2 linked regions of the Drosophila melanogaster genome follow. The protein of the gene in region 1 interacts with the protein of each later gene in a biochemical or structural test. Each region holds a gene or a part of one and is shown on either strand. Other genes may lie near its edges.

Region 1 (5,101 bases):
CTCCTTGCAAATTCCTATTGTGTCTACCGCTGCTTTATTTTCCATACCCGACACATCGGAAATAGGAACAAGGTTGTACTTAATTTCCGGTATGGGATCATCGTCGGTATCCTCACAAAGCTGGACAACTGTTTCACCGGAAAAAGTCATCTCGTAGGCGTTGTTCAGCGAAGAGTACTGCTTGTTTGCCGGTTTCAATTGACACTTTGATATATAGTACACGCTATCCACTTGAATGAGGTCGTAGAACTTATCGCACTGTTCCTTGAAGGCAGTGGCCCGAATTTCGCCCGATTCGTCCATTAAATCCATGCTGAACAACTTGCCCTCGCCGCGGGCATTGCTCCAGGTGCGAATGCCGGATTTTGAGGTCACGCGAGCCTTAATCACCCACTTATTTTGGTAGGGACTTAGGCTAGAAATGGGATGTGTCATTCCACTATTAATAGAGGAATTCATTACTATGTTATTATTGTTGTTGTGGCTCGGTTCCTTTTTGGCAATTGGCTTGGAATTAGATGTTACTGCTGGCTTAGGCGCCAGATCCTGCTTGGCTGCATTTTCATACGTAACGGGTTCGCCAATTTTGGACTTAACCTCGGCGCCAGGATTCACCACAGTTAGTTCGGAAATGATGAGAACGCGTCTAAAAGGAAAACATATGTTACTATACTGTCGAAAGTCTGTTTTACAGCGTACTTACTTTCCGGCTCCGTCCTTGCCTACCAGTGAGGTCACATATTTATCTAGCTGGACAATGGTGAACTCCTCTAATTCTCCATTGTGCTGCATCACGTTCAGCTGACTGGCCAGCATCGCATAGCTGTTAAAGTACTTGCCGTCGGAGATTAGGATGCGATAGCGCTCTGAGTCCGCTGCGCTGTTAATCTTCTTGATTGCCAGGATCTGGAGAACCGGGGCATCCACAACCTCGCCATGCATAATGCGCTGTGGCCGGTAGTACGATGTGTTACTATACCAATCCATTATTTTAAGCTGGCATACTTACAGCAATCACACCAGTGGACAAAGATGCCAGGACCATTTTGATTATAAAAATAAGTTGGGCAATTTCACAAGCAAATATAATTCATGCGTCGAGGGCTGGGTACAAAGTGAAGCTAGAAGAGGCGGGAAGGGCTTCTGTGTAATTTTGAATCAGTTGTTGCGGAACTAGTTCAATTTGCTTTCCAGTTAGAGCTGTATTTCAGGGCAGTAAAGTTTTGGTTGCTTAAGAGAAAACATTTATTTTACTTTATTATTACTATTTCCTACAGCAACATATTGAGAATAATTGTCTATTATTTTGACACATAGCTTTAAGCTTGACTTACATTGTTTGTGTTAATGCTCACAACTAGTTATTGTAAGCATTTCTATTTCAATGGAATTATAAATATTTAATAACTGTGTGATATTTTATTGACACATTCTTTGTATTAAAGCCTACATTCAGTGCCTTGTAAACTTTTTAAATTGAATGGTGTAATATATATATTTAAAATTTTTTGTAAGCTCTTTAAACTCGGTGATATTTTATTGACACAAGGAAAGTTGTTACAGTCGGGTGTTCTTATAAACATGTATGCAGAAGCGGGTGTCCACTGTATGACCCAGACGTTAACAGCACTGCTTATCGGAACTAGACCGCAGCCCTGAGTTGGCTCGATTAGCAAACATTTTCCCGCGCATTTTCGCACGCGTCGTCACAACAAGATCGGCGGTACAAAACAAAACATATTACAGATAAACGCTAAGCACAACAGACGCACGTAATGGACAATCCCAGTTCACCACCGCCAAATACGCCCAGCGATGCCGCCGAACGCCGCGATCTGCGGGCAGCAATGACGTCGCCGGTTGGCGACTTTGAGCCGTTCGAGAACGAGGACGAGATCCTGGGAGATCAGACCGTTCGCGATGAGGCCGAGGAGGAGGATGGCGAGGAGCTGTTCGGGGACAACATGGAGAACGATTACCGGCCCATGCCTGAGCTGGATCACTACGATCCGGCGCTGCTGGACGACGAGGATGACTTCTCGGAGATGTCCCAGGGCGATCGCTTTGCCGCCGAGTCGGAGATGCGTCGACGCGACCGGGCCGCCGGAATCCACCGCGACGATCGTGATCTGGGTTTCGGTCAGTCCGATGATGAGGACGACGTTGGACCCCGGGCCAAGAGACGAGCTGGCGAGAAGGCAGCTGTTGGCGAGGTAGAGGACACCGAGATGGTGGAGTCTATTGAAAACCTGGAGGATACCAAGGGACACTCAACTAAAGAGTGGGTCAGTATGCTAGGACCACGCACGGAAATCGCCAATCGCTTTCAATCCTTTTTGAGAACTTTTGTGGATGAAAGGGGCGCATACACCTATCGTGATCGCATACGTCGGATGTGCGAGCAGAACATGTCTTCGTTCGTCGTCTCCTACACTGATCTGGCCAACAAGGAACACGTATTGGCCTATTTCCTGCCCGAGGCTCCCTTTCAAATGCTCGAGATTTTCGATAAAGTGGCTAAGGACATGGTGCTCTCCATTTTCCCCACTTACGAACGTGTCACCACAGAGATTCACGTGCGCATCTCGGAGCTGCCGCTGATCGAGGAGCTGCGCACATTCAGAAAACTGCATCTGAACCAGTTGGTTCGCACTTTGGGCGTGGTAACTGCCACCACCGGAGTTCTTCCCCAGCTATCCGTGATCAAGTACGACTGCGTTAAGTGCGGCTATGTGCTGGGTCCCTTCGTTCAGTCGCAAAATACGGAGATAAAGCCCGGTTCCTGCCCAGAGTGCCAGAGCACTGGACCCTTCTCAATCAACATGGAGCAGACGTTGTATCGAAATTATCAAAAGATCACGTTGCAGGAGTCGCCAGGCAGGATTCCAGCCGGACGCATTCCTCGCAGCAAGGATGTCATTTTGCTCGCTGATTTGTGTGATCAATGCAAGCCTGGAGATGAACTTGAGGTCACAGGTATATATACCAATAACTACGATGGCTCCTTGAACACCGACCAAGGATTTCCCGTGTTTGCCACCGTGATTATTGCCAATCATGTGGTTGTAAAGGACTCCAAGCAGGTAGTGCAGTCGCTTACGGACGAGGACATTGCCACCATTCAGAAGTTGAGCAAGGATCCGCGTATCGTAGAGCGTGTAGTAGCATCCATGGCGCCTTCTATATACGGACATGATTATATCAAGAGGGCGCTGGCCTTAGCTCTCTTTGGGGGTGAGTCAAAGAATCCCGGTGAGAAACACAAGGTTAGAGGTGATATAAACCTACTCATCTGTGGAGATCCCGGAACGGCAAAGTCGCAGTTCCTCAAGTACACCGAAAAGGTTGCGCCACGTGCGGTTTTCACGACTGGGCAGGGAGCCAGTGCCGTGGGTCTCACGGCTTATGTGCGCCGCAATCCAGTATCTCGGGAGTGGACATTGGAAGCGGGTGCTCTGGTTCTGGCTGATCAGGGAGTTTGTCTAATCGACGAGTTCGACAAAATGAACGACCAGGATCGTACCTCTATTCACGAAGCCATGGAGCAGCAGTCTATTTCGATTTCCAAGGCTGGTATTGTCACCTCTCTTCAAGCTCGTTGCACCGTGATTGCTGCTGCCAATCCCATTGGCGGTCGCTATGATCCGTCGATGACCTTCTCGGAGAACGTGAATCTCTCGGAGCCCATCCTGTCCCGTTTCGATGTGCTGTGCGTGGTGAAGGACGAATTTGACCCCATGCAGGATCAGCAGCTCGCCAAATTCGTGGTACACTCGCATATGAAGCATCACCCGAGTGAGGAGGAGCAGCCGGAGTTGGAGGAACCACAGCTGAAGACCGTTGATGAGATCCCGCAGGACTTGTTGCGACAATACATTGTATACGCTAAGGAGAACATTCGGCCCAAGCTAACGGTAAGCGAACTTATTGAAATCACAGGAAAAGTGTAACAACATTTCCGTTTCATACAGAACATCGACGAGGACAAGATCGCCAAGATGTACGCCCAGCTGCGACAGGAGTCTTTTGCCACGGGCTCACTGCCCATTACGGTGCGTCACATTGAGAGTGTCATCCGAATGTCCGAAGCGCACGCGCGGATGCATCTGCGCGAAAACGTAATGGAGGCAGATGTCAGCATGGCCATCCGCATGATGTTGGAGAGCTTTATCGAGGCGCAGAAGTTCAGCGTTATGAAGAAGATGCGCAGCACATTCCAGAAGTACCTGTCCTTCCAAAAGGACCATTCCGAGCTGCTGTTCTTTATTCTGCGACAGCTGACGCTCGACCAGCTCGCCTACATTCGCTGCAAGGACGGGCCTGGCGCCACACATGTGGAGATTATGGAGCGGGATTTGATCGAACGGGCTAAGCAGCTGGATATTGTAAACCTGAAGCCGTTCTACGAATCAGATCTGTTTCGCACAAATGGCTTCTCTTACGATCCCAAGCGACGCATCATCCTTCAAATTGTGGTCGACGGCAACACAGCTTAAGTTTCAGCCATTTACTTCATCTCATTTAGTTATAGTATTCATGTTTTGTTACCCCCATTTTCGGTCTAATAAAGTTTGATATACTTATGTATGTATTTATACTAAAATAGGTATTTGAATTGAAATTTATACTTCCGTAAATATTTTTTATTGTGCATACAAATCAGCCCCAGAGTATGTCAATCGTTGTTCCCTTCGATGCCCATGGCTTTGTCGAAATCTTCCTCGCTAATCTTGTTCTTTTTCAGCCGCTTGAAGAGCCGAATATCGCTGGCCAGTTCATCGAGGTCCTCCTGGCTGAACTGCTGCCTCTTTTTTCCCTTCCCGGACCTGCTCGCCTCCGCCTCTGCCGCTTTCTTTCGCTGCTTCTTCGCCTTGCGCAGCTCCTTCTTAGACTTGGCATCCAGTTTTGCCTTCTTTGTCTGATCCCAGGACTCAACACGCTTTTTGTGCTGCTTTTGGCCCGGCCAGCTTCCCGTTTGCTCGTAAGTTTCCATTTTCTTTTGCCGGACTTGTTCTTTCTGGGCGTTTTTGTAGGTAAGTTTGGATAAATCCACTTCAAAAGCAGGCGCCACATAGCCGCCGCCCTGGTAGTTCTTTAGCTC
Region 2 (4,643 bases), on another chromosome or scaffold:
GTAATGCAACTAAGGTGTTTTCCCTTTTAATTTATGAAATGTGGCTAGCATATTCTGTAGTAGTATCTAGCGTGAGTAAGTGGTAATCAAATCTTTATCATGAGTACAAATGGACACCTGGTTGAAAATATTTGCCTGATTCTGGCTGTAACAATCAACCGATAGTGATAATATTTAGTGGACTGATAGATAATACAGCTCTCGGCAAATGTGAGTTTTATGACCCTGGTACTGTACGATGAAGTATGTCATCTATTGGTTAATATTTACCCGTAGGTGGTGCGTTTTATGTAGCCAATTCGTTCGGCCAATTTCTTAGCCACATTTATGTCGTTGGGTGCCCCTTTCAGAATGGCGAATCCTTGGACTGCCAGTGCCTCAAGCCAAACTCTCAGGGCTGCATCTTGCTCCAGCACATCCTCGTATTGGAATTCTCTTTTCACATCCTCGAACTCCGTTTTTCCCCAGAGTTGAGCGGGTGGCTTGTAGACCTCCTCCAAGTAATGCTTTCTGCCAGTCTCTCCAAAGTCCCTTTCCCTCAGCCAGCCTAGATCGAAGGTGCTCCTGTGCTTGTCCTGCCAGATGATCTCCAACTGTTTCCTCTCCTTGTTGTAGGCCACTTGGGACACTGGTATATTCAGCGGGCCACGATCCCAGTGACTTTTTCTTGCTCTTGTGGCGGCGTGGAAGCACTCGGCACACTGACAGTTGTCCCTAAGCCAAACTTGGGGGTACTTCAGGAGATTGCCCTGCTCCTCCTGGACTTCTACATAGTCGGGGCATAGTCGCACACAAGCAAATGTGCTCGCCTGCCGAAGAAGGCTCAGCCGAGAAATAAGTTGCCTACAGCTAAGCATTCCAGGCTCAACTGCCGAGCAATCAGGTGATGGCACAACAGGCAGGCTGGCTGATAAGCAAAGCTTCAGCTTATCGCTCGTCTTTCTCTTTGGGGAGCGAGACCACTTGCACTATGGATTGCGGCTGCTCCAACCAGCAGTCTCTTTGACTGTTCGCCGCAAAGCTTCGCCGGCCGCAGCAGAGTGAGCACTCTAAGAAAAAAGAGACCTGTTCAGTACTTTCTTGGATTTGCTCCTCGGATTCCTCCTGGTTGGTGTTCCCTGTTTTCCGGCTTCTGGGCTTCTTGCGCTGCCTGCGATGGCGCTTTTTCTTCGTTTTGACTGCTCCGTTCGATTGAGCTTGTGCATCAGTCTTGGCCTCCTGTGCTCCTTCCTCCACATGCAGCTCCGTATTCACTCCGGGAATCAGGGGAAGGAAACAGCGCCTGCACAGGGAACGCTTCACGGCCGGGGCCCTTGAAACCAGTTGACGCCATGAATTATTTGCCCATACTCCACTGGAGAAGCCACTTACATGTGCATGATAGCCTTGGTGCCCACATTGCGGCAGAGTTTGCCATAATAGGCGGCCAATTTTGGTTGATTGCCTACTGCCATTAAATTCGAGGCCTGGAACAGGTAGTTCATGCGTGAGGAGATGGCCCGCTGGGTCAGGTGCTTCATCTTGTTGTCCCTGCTCATATTCTGAGGCTTTTGTCGCACAAAGCTGGTCGACTGGTAGACTTTCGTTTTTGTGGCAATTCAAAACACATGGGCGTCGCGGTGTGACCGTATCTGGAGCGCCAAGATATTGCTCCTACTGCAATAGCAGCAACTGCAAAGAGCTCTCAAAATTCAACATTATGTGATTATAATTTCGGTTTTTGGCAGCTCAAAATTTCTGGAAATTCGCAGAATATTCTTTTCCCAGCAACGATTGTATTTCCGCGCCATTCCATTATTTCACACTGGTCACACTGGCTAAGCCAGCTGTTTCCCGCGTTTTTGATTCGCCAATTGCGATTGCCAGAAAAGCAAAAGTGGAGCGGCAGTGGGAAGCTGGAAAATAGCGCAAGCCGCAGGGAAACCCTCAAAATGCAACGCACTGCACTCATGTAGAATTCTACTTTGCATCGTAAGCGATTGGAAAGAGACCGTTGTGTCTAGACGTAGACAGATTAGGCAGACGATTGGGATTCCCGCCAGAAGTGTTCACCATGTTTGTCCAGGATCTGCGCAACGACTTTTACCGCCAGCTGGTTGGCAAGCGCATCTTGATCGTGGTCAACTACGACATCGATGCCATCTGCGCCAGTCGCATCCTGCAGGCCTTGTTCAAGTACGATCACATGCTGTACACCGTGGTGCCCATAATGGGCGTTACGGGTCTGAAGCGGGCCTATGGAGAGCACCAGGGCGACGTTAAGTACGTGGTGTTGGTGAACTGCGGCGGCTGTGTAGATATTGTGGAGCTCCTGCAGCCGTCGGACGACGTGACCTTCTTCATATGCGATTCACATCGCCCGTTGGATGTGTGTAACATCTACAGCGATCGGCAGGTGTGCATCTTGGGGGATGCCTCCTTGGAGGAGAATATTCCAGCGTTCGAGACAATTTTCTATGACTCTGAAGGTGAAGACGAGGATGAGGACGAGTCCTCTGACACGGAACAGCAGCACGACGACAGTGGTGCCGGGGAATCGGACCAGGAGGATCAGGCGCCAAGGAGCCGTAAGCTCAGTCGCCTGGAGCGGCACGAGCAACGCATCCTGAAGCAGCGAGCCCGCCGACAGTGGGAGTCTGAGCGCGACAGGATTATGTTCGAGTACACGCAGTTCAGCTACTACGGCAGGTCCGCCGCTTTGATGGTTTTTGAGTTGGCCTGGAAGCTCTCAAAAGACAACATGGACCTGCTCTGGTGGGCCATTGTGGGCATCACGGAGCAGCTGCTGCTGGGCAAGATCGAGAGTGGAGCGTATACTTTGGAGCTGGAGCAAATCCAGTCGCATGTGTCCCGACTGACGAACAAAACGAATGATCAGAACACGATGAGTGCCTCCAAGATAACCTTCGAGAATGATTTGCATCTGGTCTTGTACCGCCACTGGCCCGTCACGGAATCCATGAGGTGAGCATTGACAGTGTATTCTATGCCATTTAATCATGTAGTATAATCGTAGGTATTCCCGCTACTCCTCATGCCAGCTGAAGCTGTGGACACTGCGCGGAGAGAAGAGATTACACGAGCTGCTGCTCGAGATGGGACTTCCCTTGGTGCACGCCCGCCAAACGTACGGAGCCATGGATTTGGTGTTGCGCAAGGAGTTCTTCTCGATGGTGGAGCGCCTGGCGGAGAAGTACGACATAGCGGACATAGTTTACGGCACCTTTACGCTGAGCTACGGCTACCGCAGCAGATATGCTGCGGCGGACTACGTTTATGCCCTGCTCGCCATCATGGAGTCCGTGAAGAAGCACAAGACTCCGGAGGATTGCTTTCTGGAGGCCTCGGATGCTTTGAGTCGTCAGCACAAGCAGCTGCTGTCTGCAGGCATCGACCAGGCGAAGCTTTTGCATGCTGCTGTCTTTCGGCAGGTGCAGAGCAGCTTGGAGGCACGCCAAGTTCATTCAGCGGGCTCCTTTTTCTACTACGTTCTGCAGGAGGAACACGCGTTCTTCTCATACCCCTATGCCCTTGGACTGTTGGCTCGCTTTCTTTTGCGCGGACATGTGGCCACGAGTAGAGCCAGGCAGGCTTCGGACTTGCCGTTGATCGCAAGTTGTCCCCTGAACGCTTCGGAGGGCATGTGCTTGCTGGTAGGCATTGTCCCGGTAAGGGAAGACTCTCCGCGAAACTTCTTTGGCAAGGCCTTCGAGCAGGCGGCGCAAAAGAGTGGAGTCGCTCTATTGCAGGACTTTTTCGAGCCAGCGGTGGTGCAGCTGCGGCAGAGCGACCTCACACGCTTTCTGGACTCCCTCACGGTGCTGTTAGCCTAATCCACGCCGCTTTCTATTCTACCTGCTACCGACACATCCCTGCTCAATCATATTATGTGCTAAGCTAGTTTTATATCGCGAGACCTCACGTGTACACTTAGTTTAAGATTTTACCAAACCCTATTTATGTACGATTGTGTGTTAATAACTTTATCATTGCTCCCAGGACCACAAAATGCAAAATGTCCTTTTTCAAAAACTAATTGTAAATTTGACCTAGAATAATAAATTTAAATTAAAGTGTTTACCATGGAATTAAAAGTGTCGATTCACGTCTAAAATTTACTCGGCGCTTAAATTTATGAAAACGTATTTACCATGCTATCTATACATGCCGTGTTGGCAGTTGGACTGCCTTCTTACATTTGGTTTATTTTCTGGCTCAGAGGAAACATCATTAGCTAACCAGATTTGCGGCTTGAGCTTGCTGCGTCTGTGCGTTTTTTTTCTTTAGGGGATTAGCGCTGAGGATGCGGGCCGAACCCAAACAAGCTGTGTCGTCATAGAATACGGCATATTGTCCTGGTGTAATAGCTCTTAAAGGAGCGTCCAACTCGACAAGAAAAGTGTTACTGGGAGAGATGCTCAGCTGACAGTCCACCAATGGTTTGGTGTGCTGGAATCGAAAGCGACACCTCAAGCTGCCAGTGTCCGAAAGAATCTGTTGGGACTTGGAACACAGCCAGTTGGGCGGATCGACGGCTATGTGGGTGCTGAGAAGGGCGGGATGGTTGTGGCCAGATGCCACATAGATGGTATTGCTTGCGGCCTCTTTCCTGGCCACAAAATAGGGCTGAAGGAATGAGCTCA

What was found. The genes of interacting proteins can lie anywhere in the genome.
Region 2: the proteins of Mcm2 (region 1) and Cdc45 form a complex in vitro, tested with the Drosophila melanogaster proteins (one study listed by BioGRID).

The regions. Positions count from the first base shown.
Region 1 is NT_033777.3:8,263,326-8,268,426, forward strand, and holds Mcm2 (minichromosome maintenance 2), read left to right. Parts: upstream 1-1,644; 5' UTR 1,645-1,775; coding exon 1,776-3,914; intron 3,915-3,971; coding exon 3,972-4,496; 3' UTR 4,497-4,599; downstream 4,600-5,101. Other genes in the region: RPA1 (replication protein A1), read right to left, coding at 1-646, 704-948, 1,010-1,045; CG9630 (uncharacterized protein), read right to left, coding at 4,676-5,101. UniProt on the Drosophila melanogaster protein: Acts as a component of the MCM2-7 complex (MCM complex) which is the replicative helicase essential for 'once per cell cycle' DNA replication initiation and elongation in eukaryotic cells.
Region 2 is NC_004354.4:1,027,738-1,032,380, reverse strand, and holds Cdc45 (cell division cycle 45), read left to right. Parts: upstream 1-1,824; 5' UTR 1,825-2,053; coding exon 2,054-2,964; intron 2,965-3,016; coding exon 3,017-3,833; 3' UTR 3,834-4,090; downstream 4,091-4,643. Other genes in the region: CG14630 (uncharacterized protein), read right to left, coding at 271-857; Rpp21 (ribonuclease P/MRP subunit p21), read right to left, coding at 928-1,312, 1,372-1,538; CG3021 (uncharacterized protein), read right to left, coding at 4,231-4,643.